3 linked regions of the Schizosaccharomyces pombe genome follow. Changing the gene in region 2 together with the main gene of any one other region gives a genetic interaction. Each region holds a gene or a part of one and is shown on either strand. Other genes may lie near its edges.

Region 1 (6,089 bases), on a different chromosome or scaffold from region 2:
ATTAATAACTAGGTTGAAATTTTTCTAACTTAATTGATGAATATTAATTCTTTGTATACTATCTTGAGAATCAGTAATCTCAGGGCTGAGAAAATACTCTGCCGGTAGACACTATACGGTACTTCTTAAACGTTTAAATAAAAGTAATTTATACAACAAATGTCTACGGCCATACCTAGGCGAAAACACCAGTTCCCGTCCGATCACTGCAGTTAAGCGTCTGAGGGCCTCGTTAGTACTATGGTTGGAGACAACATGGGAATCCGGGGTGCTGTAGGCTTCCTTTTATTCATTTTTTTTTTGTTTGTTTTTGTGTTAATTTATTGTTAAACATGAAATTTTTGTATTGAAATTTTGTCTTGAACTCGTTGAGGCTGTATAATTTTCAAGCAAAGCTGGAAAGCATACTAGTTTAGAAGGTTATGCACATGCATGAATTGACTTTGATAATATAATAATGTTTTCGTTACTAATCGTGTAAAAGAAATTTGTTCAGAATATCAAAAACAGTAGTTTTATACATAGTAGAAAGATTTAAAAATTGATTAATTCTCAAGAGAGACCAATTGATACATACAGAAAACAAAAAAATTATATAAATGGAAAAGGGTATGTTTCGTAAATGTTGCAATTGAGAAATAAAGCGCATTTCATTTATCGTAATTTGCCTAGATCAGAAAAAGCATTGCAAAATTAGCCTCCTGAGTATGAATCTGATGATAATAACTAACAAACACAGGTTGCATAATACATGTTCCGATAATTTTCGGCTCTCAAATACTTAAATATATGATCGTTTCGCATCAGCCGTTTCAAGTCATGAAAAAAATAATAATAAAATATCAACAATACTATGCGGTTGCGGTTGCATAGCTAACGCTGCTATCGGTGACCAATTCAACATGGCTACTTTGAGCGTACGAAATAAACTTGAATCTTTCAGAGAAATTGGCGCATTCCATAGATTTCATAATGAGTTCTATAGGGTAACGGCCGCATATGGTGTTTTGAGTGGTTTTCAAATACTCTGAAAAGTCATCACTACTTTTCGTTTCAATAATTTTCATACCAATATGATCCAAATTAGATATAGACTCATAAATTTTGGGACTAGTGGGGCCACCTCGTCTTTTGTATTTTAAGACTGCATCCTCTAATTGATTCGTATCGTTCAAATAAAGGGTATATCCAAATCTTCTTCCCCAATGACAAAAATCGGAAGATATAACAAATGAATTTGATTCATCTTTAATATACTGACTCAGAAATTTCGCTGCTGCCATCATTGTGGTTGAAGTTAAGGCACCTATCATGATAGGAACAATTTTGACTTTTCCCAAGCATCCTTGTTTCAGCAAATGAAAAGCTAAAAGAGGGAATTGCATTTCGAGGCTATGTTCACTTTCATCCACATCCAAGGTCATTGAGTCGAAGCTGTTATCGCTAGCGACGAGTTTCTGACATACTATATAAATTTCCAGTTAGCAAATAATCTGTGCTGAGAAATAGACAGTAGCAATTTAGTAAAACTACTAAGCAAAACTGTTTTCACATACAGTCTTCATCCACTTTCAAATCACCTAAAGGTGTTGAGCAGATGCTAGCTCGACTGACTAGGCATTTTCTAGTAAAGATGTGATGAGAAGGCCCAAAAACAAAAACTCTCTGAATTTTCGAAAAGTCCAATTGCTGAAATCCTTGGGATGCGACTTTCCCACTATACATGTAACCAGCATGTCTGCTCAATATTTAGCTATATACTGAATATCACATAAATTATAAGTTGTCTATACGTACGGTGAAATGACAAACCGTTTCCCAGTCTCGGGCGTTGGGTTTTTGATAAATGATTTTAATTGCTTAGTTAGTAATTCTGTATCATCCAAATACCAAGATCCTGCATGAGTTGCTTCACGAATGGCTTGTGACATGAGATAAATTGAAGAATAATATTGATACGTTCAAATTGTAATTCGGTTTGTGATGTTCGTTTGACAATGGGTATTATTTTCTGAACAACACACTGTTACATATATCTTGCTTTCTTGCCTTCATCATTTGCGTTTTGCTGCACTAACACCACTTTTGGGAGGTCGAAACACAAGACTAAGACAATCGCAAAATCAGGTTTTCACACAATAAAATCATTACTTAAGAATACTGAATTGAAAGGCTTTCATTTGTTATACGTTCACGATTTACTCAAATTTCTTGTAGTAAAAACAGGTGGATTAAAATCTTTTTCGTATCCGTGTATCAGCCCTTTCGCGCTGGTAGGTCAATCGAGAATACTAAGAAATTGCAAGTGTTGTTTTCAACTAAATAAGGGTTGATCTTCTAAATTATTTCACCTATGCTATGCTTTCGTTAAAATAATAAGTATTTGTTAATTTTCTTAGTTTGACGTGTCATCGTTTCACAATTTAATATTTATTACCCGACAACTCATCGGAAAAGACCGTGTTTGGCCAAAAATCTTTGCATTGTTTTCCTATTTCTCACTTTTTTAAAATATACATTTGAAGCTGTCGGTTGAGTGTTTTGTTCTTCTCAATTATGGAAACGAAATCATCATACTTGAAGTTTCTGAATGAAGAACAAAGGATTAGTGTTCAGAGTCCTCATAAGTATACTCAAATTTTAGCCGGTCCTGGGTCTGGAAAAACCCGTGTTCTTACCGCTCGAGTAGCCTATTTACTTCAAAAGAACCATATTGCAGCCGAAGATTTAATTATAGCCACCTTTACGAACAAAGCCGCAAATGAAATAAAGCTCAGAATTGAAGCTATTTTGGGGAATAGTGAAGCCTCTAAGCTTATTTCTGGGACGTTTCATTCTATAGCGTACAAGTATTTGGTTAAATATGGCAAGCATATAGGGCTATCCTCAAATTGGTTGATTGCTGACAGAAATGATACGTATGTCTTGTTTACACTTTTCTAACTTTTACTTCTCCACTTTCAACCATTGCTGATCTATTTAGTCAAGCTATTATGAAGCGACTTTTAGACTCTCTCAAGAAAGCTAAAAATCCGATTGCTTCTGGTATTAGAGGACAAGAATTGACTCCTCAGAATGCTCTAAATCGCATAACTAAATTAAAGTCCAACGGTCTTCTTGTTAAACCTGGAATGGATCAGTTGAGTTTGATTAATGGTCTGGAAGAACCACCTAAAGAGCTTCAAAGCCATCAATCTGTTGAATTGTATAGACTTTATCAAACTTCCTTATGGAAGAACAATTTAGCGGTACGTAACAAGCATAAAGTTGTATGTATATATCTAACTATTTAGGATTTTGATGATTTGCTTTTAAACTTTATTTTATTACTTCAAAAGCAACCAGATTGTGTGAGGAATATAAAACATATTTTAATCGATGAATTTCAAGATACTAGCAAAATCCAATATTTTCTTGTTAAGCTTTTGGCATTGCAAAATTCAGATATCACGATTGTTGGCGATCCCGATCAATCAATCTATGGATTTCGAAGTGCTGAAATTAGGAACTTAAACCAAATGTCTGAAGACTTTGAAGGTACCCAAGTGCTTCATTTGGAAAGAAATTACCGTTCAGCTAAACCTATACTTGAATTAGCACTGTCTATCATTTCACAGGACAAAAGCAGGCCTAAGAAGGGGCTCAAAAGTAATCACATCTCTTCCTTAAAGCCTCATTACCGATTGTTTGAAACTAACAATAAAGAATCTTACTGGATCGCAAGGTTCGTATGGCTTCATTGCATGAAAGTTTACTAACGATTCTTTAGAGAAATTAAACGTATAGTAGGTTCTTGTCCAGAGCTTATATTTTATAACGATATCGCAATCCTTGTAAGGTCCTCCAGCCTTACAAGAAGTTTAGAACATGCACTTTCCGAACTTGGTGTGCCCTACCGCATGGTTGGAGTTAACAAGTTTTTTGATAGAGAAGAGATTCGAGACTTAATAGCTTACTTGAGAGTCCTAGCTAACAAAGATTCGACTTCTTTAATTCGTGTCATCAATGTCCCTCCTAGAAATATTGGCAAAACAAAAATCGACCGTATTATTTTCGAAAGTGAAAGAAGAGGATTGACCTTTTGGCAAACTTTAAATGAAGTAAAGAATGAAAATATTTTACTTTCTCAAAGAAATGACAAGAGTTTTCTAAAGTCTTTAAAGTCTTTTCTTTGTTCAATCTCCAAACTTGAAAATCGTTACTTGTCTAATGGGCACTCAGCAACTCTTAGTGATTTACTTTTGGGAATACTTTCTGAGATTAAATATTACGAATACCTGGTTCGGAAAAATAAAGAAACTGTCGAAGAAAAATGGGAAAATGTAATGGAGCTTGTACAACAAAGCGATAACATATCTTGTATATTCTATGAATTAGATTACAAAATATCAACAATTGTTCTATTGCAGAATTTTTTGACTCAAATCGCTCTTGTGAATGAAGAACAGAAAGAGGGCGAATCTCAGAAGGTTACCATTTCAACCCTTCACGCAGCTAAGGGTTTAGAGTGGCCTGTTGTATTTTTACCTTGTCTTTGTGAAAATATTATCCCTCATTCTCGTTCAGACGACCTCGACGAGGAAAGAAGGCTGCTATATGTCGGTGCCACACGTGCACAGGCGCTACTGTATCTATCTTCCTTTAAAAGCGTCACTGGAATGTTTGCAGATATGCAGAACTCAGACAATGTACAGGACGTCAGTCCATTTTTAAAAGGAGAAGAAATGAAAAGATGGGTGATGGAAAGTGAAATAGTTTTTAATGAAAAGATTGCTTCTGAAATTGGAACCATATTGGGTCGGAAATCTTATGGGAAAATAACTAATTTAAGCGGTATTGGTTCAAATGCAAATCATAACGGAACTAAATTCGAAAACTTGGGCTTCCAATGCTGTCGTGTTCTAGCTGAGGCAGAATTGAAAAAGAGAGAACGAGTCAAAAGTGTCAATGACTATAATAAAGATGAAACAAATTTTAGAAAACATAATGCCAAGAGATCGAAAACCGATATACGAAGTTGGTTTGAGAAAAAACAACCAATCGATTCAGATGTAGAGATTTCTGAGCCGTCAAGGTCCGCAAGCATAATGGTTGCAAATAAAGATTTAAATGATCGAAGTTTTGAAACTGTCAATCGTATTGTATCGACAAGAGCCTCAACGACAAACGCTTCTTTCATGAGCAGCGTCAGACAAAATCTTGGTAGAGGTCCTTCTACGAAAGATCAGGTAATAAATAGAACGTTGAGGGAAGGTCACCAAGATGTTGTGCAACATACTGACCTTAATCAATCAAATACTAAGGTCGCGAGTGCCCGTCCTGCTGGTTCGAGAAAACGATTGGGTGTAAGGCTACGAGTTTCACGAATGTTATAGTCATATCATGTTGTACAAAATCACGTATTATATTTATAGACAATCTAAACACCTTGCTACGGTGTTTTCTTTAAAATACCTACATATAATGTCAGCTTGAAAATAGATACAGATAATAAACTTACATTAGAGTACTACAGTTTCGACAAATATTTCGTTGGCAGCGATCACATGTAGAAAGATATAATACGTTATCACAAAATTCGCAAACACCGGTAGATGAAGGCAGATGGTCATTGTCAGTAACAAAATTAACCTTTTCATTTAAAACGATAGAAGAGGCATCATGGGCATTACTTTTTTTGCTTGCAAACAAACTAAGAAAAGATCTCACTTAGAAGCTTAGTAAAAAATCGCTAAATTCTTCACTTACTATCCAAATGATTTTTACACTTCTTTCTTGGTAACCTACTAGGAACATGTTCAGAACGACATCTTTTCATAGCTAAATCTCGGATACTTCGAGTTTCAAAAAAATGTGACACGTTGTTCTACCCTCTTAAAGCCTTATCGAGGTGTTGTTTTGTTTTTGTGGAACGCGGACTAGATGGCTAGTGCATGGTCTAATGGACTGTACAGGAATGGTCAAATAGGCGATACTTCTTGTCAAAATATAGCACTAAATGCATTTTTGAACCCTGTATATATTCGAAAAAAATACAAATCGTCCTTATTAATACATTTCGTAAGTCAAAATGAAATTGCTGAAATGAA
Region 2 (5,349 bases):
CCTGCTTGTTCAAGACACATTGGGACCGAGATTCTTTCTCCCTAAAAAGGTAAGCCAACACTTTTTAAACCGAGCATTTGAAGCTCTAATGTTTTTAAAATGCTAACTCAATTTTAGTTCTTTCTTTCAAGCCCAGTTTATGACTATCATCCTGTTATTCAACAAGATGATTTGGAGGCCTTTATGAGAGATGCAAATGTTTGTCCAATTTGCATGCAACCTATCGAGCTTGTCTCCACTGGATCTACTTTAAATCCTGCCTCTATGATGGTAAGACGAAATTACATGCTTACACCTTGTCACCATCTCTACCATCGGCAATGCTTACTACAGTGGATGGAAACTAGAAGTATTTGTCCCGTGTGCCGCTGCCATCTTCCCGCCGTTTAATGTAATGATTTGATGAGTTATGGTTTAGAAATCCATAGCGAATGACTTACTAAGCTCTTTGTTTGTTTTAATGATGTTCATATTGTGCAACGTAATGCGTTTAATGCAAATTTTAGTAAATAAAATAAATTTTATTGAATATCATAAATGTAAAGATTTGATATATTCAGTAGTATACACTATATACAGAAACAGTGAAACTTATTTTGGTTTCAACTGGAGGAGTTGTTTTTTAAAATAAAATGGAAATGTAGAAGCTAATCTAGAGTTGTTGAAAACCAAGTAGACAGTATGCGGTCGCTACCTTCTAGATATTGTAGTCGTCCATAGTTATATCCAGCGCTCCGTAATATACTCGCTGCACCTCTTCTCGATATATGAGATGCTGAACGACCTTTCGATGAGAGAAGCAACTTATAGCTGTTTAGACGAATGCGATCATATCTTCGCATACAACGAACAAAGGGTGCAACTTCAAGGATCAAAATGTCATTAGGACGGTCAATGCTGTTAGGGGGGGTATAAGAGGTGACCTGTGAATTAGCAAATGATAAAAACGAAAGAATGTTATAAACATCATCCGGATCAAGTCTAAATTAAACAGTAAGTAAGATTTTCTATTTTTTTTGTAACCGTACTTGTAACCTATAGTTGACGCTAATGCAGATAGCTGTAATTCACGGTTATTGAGAGCTTTTGGAACAATGCTATCGTTACTGGAAATAGCTTTCAAAGAGCTTTTTGAAAATAAGTTATTAATAAAGCAAAATGAATGGTATTGAAGCTTTAATTCATGGGGTTCGGGAGGAGCGTTGGCATGAAAGGGATTCGAAATCGTTGGAAATCCCACAAGATTATCTTGAAACGCGTTAGCGCAATTATCCCGACATTCCAAACTCATATCTTCAAATGACGCGGAATCATTCATTAACTCATAAGTCTCATAAATAGTGGGTTGAGAGCTAAAGCGGTAATCTACATAAGAGAGAGAGTCCGCGTATTGATGGCTGTAAATTAATTTTTCCATAATTGCTTCCTTCTCTTCCATTTCAGACTTTGGGACGCAAACTTTTCTCCAATTTACTAAATTCGGCATGAACAGTAACCCAATATCTCCCATTTGTTCCTCAGAATACGTTTGCAGTAAATCTTCACTAGTTTGAATTCGTGGGTTGTAAACTCCAACGCCTTCATCAAAGGCAGAAATAGTTGCCTCAATAAATGGTTCATGAGAATCATCTTGCTTATCTTTAGAAGGCAAAGAAGGGAAATTTACAAGGGACCAAAAGTTTAATTGCATTAGTATACCTCGCAAATCAGAACCATATCTGTAGCTTATTGATTCAACAACATTTCTTGATATGATGCAACGATCAGCATACAATACACTAGAAATATAGTCGGTTAGCAAGGCAGAAGAGATGGACTGAAATTGCACAATGTGGTCTTCCTGAAGAAAGGCAGAAGGTAAAAAATCAGTTTCTAAAATTATGTTAGTAGTGGAAAAACTAAAACATTCTCCCTACCATTACAAGTCATGACAACAGGACGTTTAGATTTTTCAATTAAAGTAGAGACTGCTTGCCAAAAGCCACGATCGTCCTGAAATAAAATATCAACTTCTTCAAGTAGGATAAGAATGTCAGGAGTATTATTAAGCCTAGATTTATCAACGATATGACTTTGTGTTAGCTCACCAATCCGTTCAAGCAGCTCTTTTCCCGAGCGTCTCATTCCCGGGTGTATTTCAACAACTTCAAAATTAAGCTCACGACATATGGCATATAAGCATGAAGTCTTTCCTATTCCCGTAACACCAGTAACAAGCATCCAGTTAGAAAATTGAGAAGATGTAAGCTTTGCTTTTTTACGCGACACAGAAGGATTGAACTCGTCGGAATCATCTTCTTCTTCAATGATATCCGGTTCAAAGTCACTTTCCGAAAGAGAATCTTCATTTCTTTTAGAAGATGTACAAGAATGAATAGTCGAGGATCGAGATATAGAAGATGAAGGAGGTACAGATGAGCTTTCAGGTTTGGTCAACCTACATGACCTTAGCCAATCCGCTATCTTCGAAAGGCATTGAGAGAACGCACAGCAATCTTGTGTTTTAGATGGAGCATATTTTGACACCCACAGTCCTTTTTCTAATATTTGTGGGATCATTGGCATTTCAACATTAGGATCTGATGGCAAAAGTCTTGACAAAACCTTTTGAATAAAAGGAGCCGGTGAAAAGCACAACGATTCCAAAGCAAAAGTATGAAGTTTAGAAGGAGTAACCTGTAATACTTCTGTTTTATTTTTCTCAGCTAATGGGGTTATCATATTCGCGGTGGTGGAGGAAAGAACCTCCTTAAACGAAAGATGAGAGGTCTCTTCTAAAATGGCTTCTTCTAAATGCTTTTTCGGAAACCAGAAAACACTCGGCTCAATAGAGCCGGCATACTCTAACATACTCTGGGAATCGGGTGTCGGCCATAATGGATCAAGTAACCTCTCTGGCTTAGTACCGCCTCTTTCTTCACTTACAAATTTGATTTCAGAATTCTTTTTCACAGACTTTGACATGAAAAACGGGTGCATGGATGTGACAGTATTTCGCAGATTACTAGGTGAATCTGCTAAGTTTGAATAATGTAACTCGGAAACAAGGGGGGAAGAATTAACTGTTTCCTGTGAATTAATATTCTCAACTAAAATATTAGTATCTGATGCTTCTCCCGACGACTTAGCAGGCGGAAAGGCAGTTGAGTTGGTATCATTGCTGAGTTTTGGGTGTAATATATTCTCAATTTTTTGACCCAAGGAAGTCGATACTTTAAGCGTTACTAGTAAAGATTGATCATTTTCAAAGTCTTTGCTTTCCTCCATATCCATATCAAAGAATTTCCTCATGTAGCTACGTTCCTTATGAAGTGATCGGCTTCTTCGAGGTTTACGAGACCCTGACAAAGGAGATTTGCCAAAATATTTATTTTCAGATGTGGCAGGGACTGGTGACATTGTGTGTCTCCTCCCAATAGGCTTTTCTTCTTTTGCTTCATTTTCGGATTTTAAATCAGGATTACTCTGCGAATCTGCAGACAAATAGCCTACAATTTGCATAGGGATCTTCAATCACCGCATAAGTTCAATAAAAGTCCTAGTTTGAATGATTTTTAGAAATAGTTTCACAGGTTTCTCAGCTTTCAACAGTTTGGTTAAGGAGAGGTAGACAAAGACTCCGTGTACTAGTGAACGAGTATTGGGAATTCGATAAGCTTATAGTTTAGATTTATTTATTTTTAAGTATGTTTTAGATTACTGAAATTCCTAAATAAAATATCGTTGCACCATTGAAGCAACACGATCCTCCATATTATCATTGTTATGTGTAAGCTGTCAGTAATTGAATAGAGAAGTAGGAGATATAATCGTCACAGTTAAGCTTTTTCATCTCTTTTAAAAACGACTTACCAACTTTTAATGTGAGTTTGCTTATTCCATGCAAAGAAAACCGAGTTCAATAGCTATTAATCCATAGCCTAACATAATCAGTGAAATAGTCAAAAGAAAAATTTGATACTAATATACTTTTTAGAAAATTTTAAAGAATTTGTATAATTACTATTTCTACTACCGCCAATTAGTCGGAACGCTGACTAACTTTTTGTGCATCGTTGTAAAATAAAGGAGAGCAGAATTTCACTTGTTTATGATTGTAGTAAATTTTCTAAGTTAAGTAGTCTATTTACTTCAATTAAGTAAATCTAGATTCAAGAAACGGATCACATTTGTTTATCTGTTTATTTATTTGTTTGTTTTTTAAAAAAAGGTAAGTGTAAAGCTTTCCTTCCACTTTAACTCAATCAGTAAAAAATAATTTATTTTGAAGATGATTTTGCTAACAATTTTATACATTTCGTACTGCAACATTTTGCTAAAATATCCTGTTTATGTTTTGACTTGCACTTTGTTTACTTTTTTAAGGCAACTTCTATAACGTATTGTTCTGCATTACATTACAAAAATAAGAAAATCGCACAAGTTATCGTTAACAAACCTGCCTTTATACTAATTCTGTTTAACCAAAGCACATGTCAATAAACAATCAAAATGGATGAATACATCCCTTTTGACGATATTGTGCGCCAATACGACCCAGATTATACAGGAAAAGTAATTTCTCATTACTTGAAAAATAGTTTCTAATTTTCGACAGGTTTCCATTCAAGCATTTTTAGAAATTGTCGACGATGTTGACGCATTGCGACTTAATCCAGAGGCCCCTTTGCTTGATAATGAGCAAAGACAATCGGCCCAAGATTTTATAAAAGATAACAGTGAGATTGTAGTGTCTACGAGTGAAATTAAGAATTTGTTTTATGAGTTAACTGGTCTTGACCCTGATACCCTTCCTGTAAACAAATTAGCTTTGCGCGAGAATGGGGTATTACCAAGAAAAAGTGTAGCGAAGCCTCAAAAAATATCAGAAAATCGAATAAAGAGAAAAGATATGTTTTATCAAGACGCAAGTTACATAACACCAAGAAAAGGATCACCTTTGAGTCATTCAACCCCTTTGTCAATGTTTCGAACTAAAAATGAATATGGATCAAATAAAGGATTTTCTCATATAAACAAGGAAAATGCTGATGATTCTTTAATTCAACAGCTTTATGAAAGGATAGAGCTTCAAGCGGCAGAATTACGTTCTAAAGACGAGCAAGTTAAAGAACTAAACGCGCGAAATGCAAAATTATTGGAGGAATTGGATTCTTCGGAAGAAGCTTGCAAGTCTTGTTATACCCAAGCGAAAACCTGGGAGAAAAAATTTCGTGAAGCTCTTCGTGATTCTAAGGAGTATGCAGCTCAATTACAAACCATTCATGAAGAGTATGAGCAACAGCAAGCCCATATTGTGAGAATGGAAGAGCTAATCCATGCTGTAGAAAAGGAAAGGAAAACGGTATG
Region 3 (5,996 bases), 3.2 Mb from region 2:
TCCTTTCTTCTCTTCCTCCTTGCTTACCTCTTCGCTCAATCTACCTTCACTCACCCTCTGTACTTCTTCACTGTATCTCGATCGACTCGGACTCTGCACCTCTTCACTATATCGGGGATGCGCCGGTCCCTGCATCTCACGTTTCTTGTTCACCGCCCTTAACAATTCCACCCGCAAAAAGTGTTCCACTCCAAATTGCTGTGTTTCAAATGTTTCCGGACATTCCTCCGGCACAACCATCGAAGCGCTCATGTTTTCCAACTCAAACACTCCCCGTGTAATTCTACACCACACTTTTCGCGTCGCCCTCTCCGTCCCTACGCTGTTGCGTATACGGATGTCTGGCACAATACGCTCCACACTTTCAAGTTGCATATGCACTTGTCGAACCATCGCGTCCAGTCCTTCTAGCTCAATCATCATCATCTCTCCTGTCCGATATCTGCTTTTGCTCAAAAGCAATCGACATAACACTTTTTGTTTGCTTGTAATCTCAAACCTCGTGGCCATTGGTTGCTTGGATTCGAGTTTTTTTAACAACGCAATTTTTTCTTCATCCTCTTCCTCTAATACTTCTTCATTGATCTCTGACCTCATTCCATGATCTTGGAATTCTCCTCCTCCCTCTTCATTAGACTCTCCATCAAGTAGCTTTTTTATGTGTTGCTCGTATTTCTTTTTTTGCTTCTCTTCCTCCTGCGCATCCTGCGAAAGTCGTATACCGTTTTTACCGAATTGCCTACGTGCTTTCTCTGCTGAAACCTCTTCAATTTCTGCCGCATCTGTTTCAATAATCGGTTTGGATAAATCTGCAAACAGCTTCGAGGATTGTCTGTTTCCCGAATTCTTTCCGAGTGGCAGTTCAGGTTGCTGTTGAACGTTGGGTACTATAGTAATTTCAAATTCATGCTCTACACAAGCATTGTTGGTAGCTGATTGGACTCCTATGACCAGTGCGTGTTGAAATCGAAAGGCCAATCCTTTATATGTAGGTGCTGTTCGAAGGGGAATTCTTCGCTTCAACCGAAAGCATTTTTCCTCTCCAGGAGAAAGCGTGATATCGACTCCTAATATATCTGGACGAGTCAGTAGCACTGGAATGGCATTTTCCTGCTTTTGTTCTTTATCGGTTAGTATTCATGCTTAAGCAGTAGGTTGCAGTAAAAATAAGAGTAACCATCTTCCAAAAAAAAAAAAAAAAAAAAAAAAAATTGAATAAAGAGTAAATATGTTTCAAATGAATTACAAAACTCTTCCCAGACAACCTTTCTGTAATTCGTCAATTGACTTTATGTCCACCTCACCGTATAAGCACTCTTCCGAGCTATATCTTCCCTCCAAATGTAAGCCAATTGAGAGATTTTTTTTACCAAGTCTTTATTTCCTTTTGCACCCTTTCACCATTACATACCTGAGGCCTCTGTCAATGTACTTGCTTGTTTAACTCCAAATAAATTTCCAATCATCCCGTTCAGAGTATTAATAACAGAATAACTGCTGGATACCTTGGGAATATGTACTAATCCGCTCATTGTCCTTTTGTTTAAGAGCCCCTGCCTCTGAACCTCATCGAATTCTGTAACGCGCACCAGTACATAGTCAAGGTACATTTCACCATGGATAGAAGCATAGCACAAAAGTAAATTTACATCTTCTGAACTCCTTAGATTCGTGAATTTTACAATGCACTCAAAGTCAGTTCCGGATTGAACTACATTCACTGGCATGTACATTTGCACATCACATTCTGTCATTGTCGAACACCACTAAACTCTTATATTCGATAATTTCTCAAGCCGCTGGCTTCAGCTTTACCTTAATAATAACCATACAACTTGGATTTCTTCATTCGTATTGACGAACGTTTATTAGTCTCGTAACAAATGCACAATCAAAATAGTACTGTAAAAGAGCCCACTTTTCTTCCTCCACGACTCATTTTACGAGATTAAATAACGAACGCCCACAATCAATTTTTTACACTCTCCTTACTATTCCTTAATTTACTCATTTACGAATGTTTTAACGAAGCTTTGTTAACTCTCTGCTTTTGGCAAATTGTCACATTCCTTGCTATTGTCGCCCAATATACATACATACACTGCTTTTTTGGAAGTTAGACAGTAGCTTCTCAGGAATTGGGTAATTGTTATTCATCGTCGGAAATGAGTAATTCTGACATTCGAAGCTTCTTTGGAGGAGGGAACGCTCAAAAAAAGCCAAAAGTCTCACCGACTGTATGTTTGTTTCTTCAATCAGTCAAATTTGATAAGCTAGTCATTCATTTTCTAACGTCTTTGTCTAGCCTACTTCCCCAAAACCAAAAAGGAGTTTGAAGAAAAAAAGAATCGTTTTATCAGATGATGAAGATGGTACAATAGAGAATTCAAAAGTTCCTGCATCCAAAAGCAAAGTGCAAAAACGGTTCGTTTAATTCGGGTTATCAGTTTATATTTCTAACCCTCCAACTAGTAATGAGTCGGAAGATATTTCCCATTCTTTGCCATCCATTGTTCATGAAGACGATAAACTGTATGTTTATTTTACTTTTACCTCATTATGCGTTGTTCGCTAATTTGAATTTTTGTTTAGTGTCGGTTCAGATGGAGTTTCAACTACACCTGATGAGTACTTTGAACAACAGTCTACTCGGTCACGTTCTAAACCGCGGATTATCTCCAATAAAGAAACTACTACTTCCAAAGATGTCGTACATCCTGTAAAAACAGAAAATTTTGCCAATGACTTGGATACCACTTCAGACAGTAAGCCAGTTGTCCATCAAACTAGAGCTACACGTAAACCTGCTCAACCTAAAGCAGAAAAATCGACAACTTCAAAGTCAAAATCTCATACCACAACTGCGACAACTCACACAAGTCGTTCTAGCAAGTCGAAAGGCTTACCTAGGTTCTCAGACGAAGTTTCCCAAGCCCTCAAAAATGTTCCTTTAATTGACGTAGACTCTATGGGTGTGATGGCTCCAGGTACTTTCTATGAACGGGCGGCTACAACACAAACTCCAGGCTCAAAACCCGTCCCTGAAGGCAATAGCGATTGTCTCTCGGGAATTAGCTTTGTTATTACAGGAATTCTAGAGACTTTAACTAGACAAGAGGCTACAGACCTGATCAAACAATATGGTGGAAAAGTGACAGGTGCACCTTCTGTTAGAACAGACTTTATTCTCTTAGGTGAGAATGCTGGTCCAAGAAAAGTGGAAACAATTAAACAACACAAGATTCCTGCTATTAACGAGGATGGACTCTTCTATCTTATAACTCATCTTCCTGCTTCAGGAGGAACGGGTGCTGCGGCTCAGGCTGCTCAACAGAAAAAGGAACAAGAAGAAAAGAAAATCCTTGAAACTGTTGCGAGAATGGACGATAGTAATAAAAAGGAATCACAACCTTCACAGATATGGACTTCAAAATATGCGCCAACTTCTTTAAAGGATATTTGTGGTAATAAGGGTGTCGTTCAAAAACTTCAAAAGTGGCTACAGGATTACCACAAAAACAGGAAGTCCAACTTTAATAAACCTGGACCTGATGGTCTGGGTCTATACAAAGCCGTATTACTCTCTGGTCCTCCAGGTATTGGCAAGACGACTGCTGCTCATTTGGTAGCAAAATTAGAAGGTTACGATGTTTTGGAACTGAACGCTAGTGACACTAGAAGCAAGCGCTTGCTAGATGAGCAGCTGTTCGGTGTGACAGATAGTCAATCACTTGCCGGCTACTTTGGCACAAAAGCTAACCCCGTTGACATGGCAAAGTCCCGACTTGTACTCATTATGGACGAAATCGATGGCATGTCATCGGGTGATCGTGGAGGCGTTGGTCAGTTGAATATGATTATTAAAAAAAGCATGATACCAATTATTTGTATTTGCAATGACCGTGCTCATCCAAAGCTGCGGCCCCTTGACCGTACTACGTTTGACCTCCGTTTCCGTCGGCCAGATGCTAATTCAATGCGATCCCGAATAATGTCTATAGCGTATCGTGAAGGTCTCAAATTGTCACCACAAGCAGTCGATCAACTGGTTCAGGGGACGCAGTCCGATATGCGCCAAATTATTAATTTGCTATCCACTTACAAGTTAAGCTGTTCAGAAATGACACCTCAAAATAGCCAAGCTGTTATTAAAAATTCTGAAAAGCATATCGTTATGAAACCATGGGATATCTGTAGTCGTTACTTACATGGAGGAATGTTTCATCCATCAAGCAAGTCCACCATTAATGATAAATTAGAGCTGTATTTTAATGATCACGAATTTTCTTATCTTATGGTTCAAGAAAACTACCTTAATACTACACCAGATAGAATTCGTCAAGAACCACCGAAAATGTCACATTTGAAGCATTTAGAATTAATATCTAGTGCTGCTAACTCCTTTTCCGACTCTGATCTTGTTGATTCAATGATTCATGGTCCTCAACAACACTGGTCACTTATGCCAACCCATGCTCTTATGTCTTGCGTGCGACCTGCTTCTTTCGTGGCTGGTTCCGGTTCCAGGCAGATTCGCTTTACTAATTGGTTGGGTAATAACTCGAAGACAAATAAATTATATCGTATGCTTCGTGAGATACAAGTACACATGCGTTTAAAAGTATCCGCTAATAAATTGGACTTGCGGCAGCATTATATTCCAATATTGTATGAGTCTCTGCCTGTAAAGCTATCAACAGGCCATTCAGACGTCGTTCCAGAAATCATTGAATTGATGGATGAATATTATCTAAATCGTGAAGATTTTGATTCAATAACGGAATTAGTTCTTCCTGCAGATGCAGGTGAGAAACTCATGAAAACCATACCGACTGCTGCAAAATCTGCATTCACAAGAAAATACAATTCTTCGAGTCACCCCATCGCCTTCTTTGGAAGTAGTGATGTTTTACCTATGAAGGGCTCTGCTCAGCGCGAAGTGCCGGATGTCGAAGATGCAATTGAAGCCGAAGATGAGATGTTAGAAGAAGCTAGTGACTCAGAGGCTGCTAATGAAGAGGACATAGATTTAAGCAAAGACAAATTTATTTCGGTACCAAAGAAACCTAAAAAAAGGACTAAGGCAAAGGCTGAAGCGTCCTCTTCTAGCTCAACCAGTCGCCGATCCAGAAAAAAGACAGCTTAAAAAGCTCTGAAAATATTACTTTTACGGATTGTATATGAGTTATCGGGATTATATTGCTGAGTAAGTGAAATTTGCGAATACTTTTCAATTACTTTGCAACAATAGTAAATAATATAGATTTTTTGGTGGATTTTACAGTTCTGGTAAGATATGCTCAAATTTTCTTAATCTTAAATGTGTGTTCTTTTGTCCGTTACATACTTTAATGTTTATAAGATATATTATATCATATTTAGCATGACCGTATTTGCAAGGTTAGATTTAAAAATTCGGTGAGTGGTATTTTCAATAAAGCTATCGTGAACCATATCATTTGTAATTGAGTCAGTAAAATAAAAGCTAATTGACAGGCGGTTTAAAATGTATAAAATTATTTTTATTATTAATAATTATATCGTTTCATCTAAGTACGCTACATTGCTGTGTTAACTATCAGAGTTATGGTGAGCTAAGTGCTTAGTAAACTTAGCAGAGAGCATCTGAAAAGCTGCCAAATACCAGAATGCTTGCATCAATTGAGGAAGCAGTGAATGACTTTCGTAAGCATATTTCTTTTTAAAAAGATAAAACGCTAATATCATGACAAGGGGATGGAAAGTTTTTAATAGTGTTAGACGATGAAACGCGTGAAAACGAAGGAGATCTGATTATTGCAGGTTGCAAAGTTACTACCGAACAAATGGCATTCTTAGTCAGGCATTCTAGGTATGCAAAACGACATGGAATTGTTTGAAATGCTAATAAATAGTGGGTATGTCTGCGTACCCATGACTGGTGAACGTTTGGATTCTCTAGAAATTCCTATGATGGTAGATAATAACGAGGATCGTATGCGAACAGCATATGCAGT

The links.
Region 1: of elg1 (region 2) and srs2, changing one suppresses a phenotype caused by changing the other (phenotypic suppression), as found in Schizosaccharomyces pombe (one study listed by BioGRID).
Region 3: of elg1 (region 2) and rfc1, extra expression of one is lethal in a mutant of the other (dosage lethality), as found in Schizosaccharomyces pombe (one study listed by BioGRID).

What each region holds. Positions count from the first base shown.
Region 1 is NC_003424.3:3,830,219-3,836,307, forward strand, and holds srs2 (UvrD subfamily ATP-dependent DNA helicase), read left to right. Parts: upstream 1-2,060; 5' UTR 2,061-2,556; coding exon 2,557-2,918; intron 2,919-2,983; coding exon 2,984-3,248; intron 3,249-3,268; exon of another isoform or gene 3,269-3,293; coding exon 3,294-3,724; exon of another isoform or gene 3,725-3,769; coding exon 3,770-5,375; 3' UTR 5,376-5,408; coding exon of another isoform or gene 5,409-5,454; 3' UTR 5,455-5,500; downstream 5,501-6,089. Other genes in the region: SPOM_SPAC4H3.04C (uncharacterized protein), read right to left, coding at 852-1,465, 1,557-1,738, 1,798-1,931; SPOM_SPAC4H3.16 (uncharacterized protein), read right to left, coding at 5,409-5,454, 5,501-5,708, 5,749-5,818. UniProt on the Schizosaccharomyces pombe protein: ATP-dependent DNA helicase involved in DNA repair at least for UV-induced lesions. Also aids the recombinational repair of camptothecin-induced collapsed replication forks.
Region 2 is NC_003423.3:648,132-653,480, reverse strand, and holds elg1 (DNA replication factor C complex subunit Elg1), read right to left. Parts: upstream 3,599-5,349; 5' UTR 3,502-3,598; coding exon 1,917-3,501; intron 1,873-1,916; coding exon 1,029-1,872; intron 982-1,028; coding exon 648-981; 3' UTR 501-647; downstream 1-500. Other genes in the region: dsc1 (ubiquitin-protein ligase E3), read left to right, coding at 1-49, 118-390; protein Kms2, read left to right, coding at 4,492-4,554, 4,598-5,344.
Region 3 is NC_003423.3:3,852,112-3,858,107, reverse strand, and holds rfc1 (DNA replication factor C complex subunit Rfc1), read left to right. Parts: upstream 1-2,085; 5' UTR 2,086-2,165; coding exon 2,166-2,237; exon of another isoform or gene 2,238-2,305; coding exon 2,306-2,424; exon of another isoform or gene 2,425-2,472; coding exon 2,473-2,532; exon of another isoform or gene 2,533-2,592; coding exon 2,593-5,146; 3' UTR 5,147-5,451; downstream 5,452-5,996. Other genes in the region: rgp1 (protein sat1), read right to left, coding at 1-1,121, 1,412-1,754; rib3 (3,4-dihydroxy-2-butanone 4-phosphate synthase), read left to right, coding at 5,649-5,685, 5,734-5,851, 5,895-5,996. UniProt on the Schizosaccharomyces pombe protein: The elongation of primed DNA templates by DNA polymerase delta and epsilon requires the action of the accessory proteins PCNA and activator 1. Subunit 1 is essential for cell cycle progression.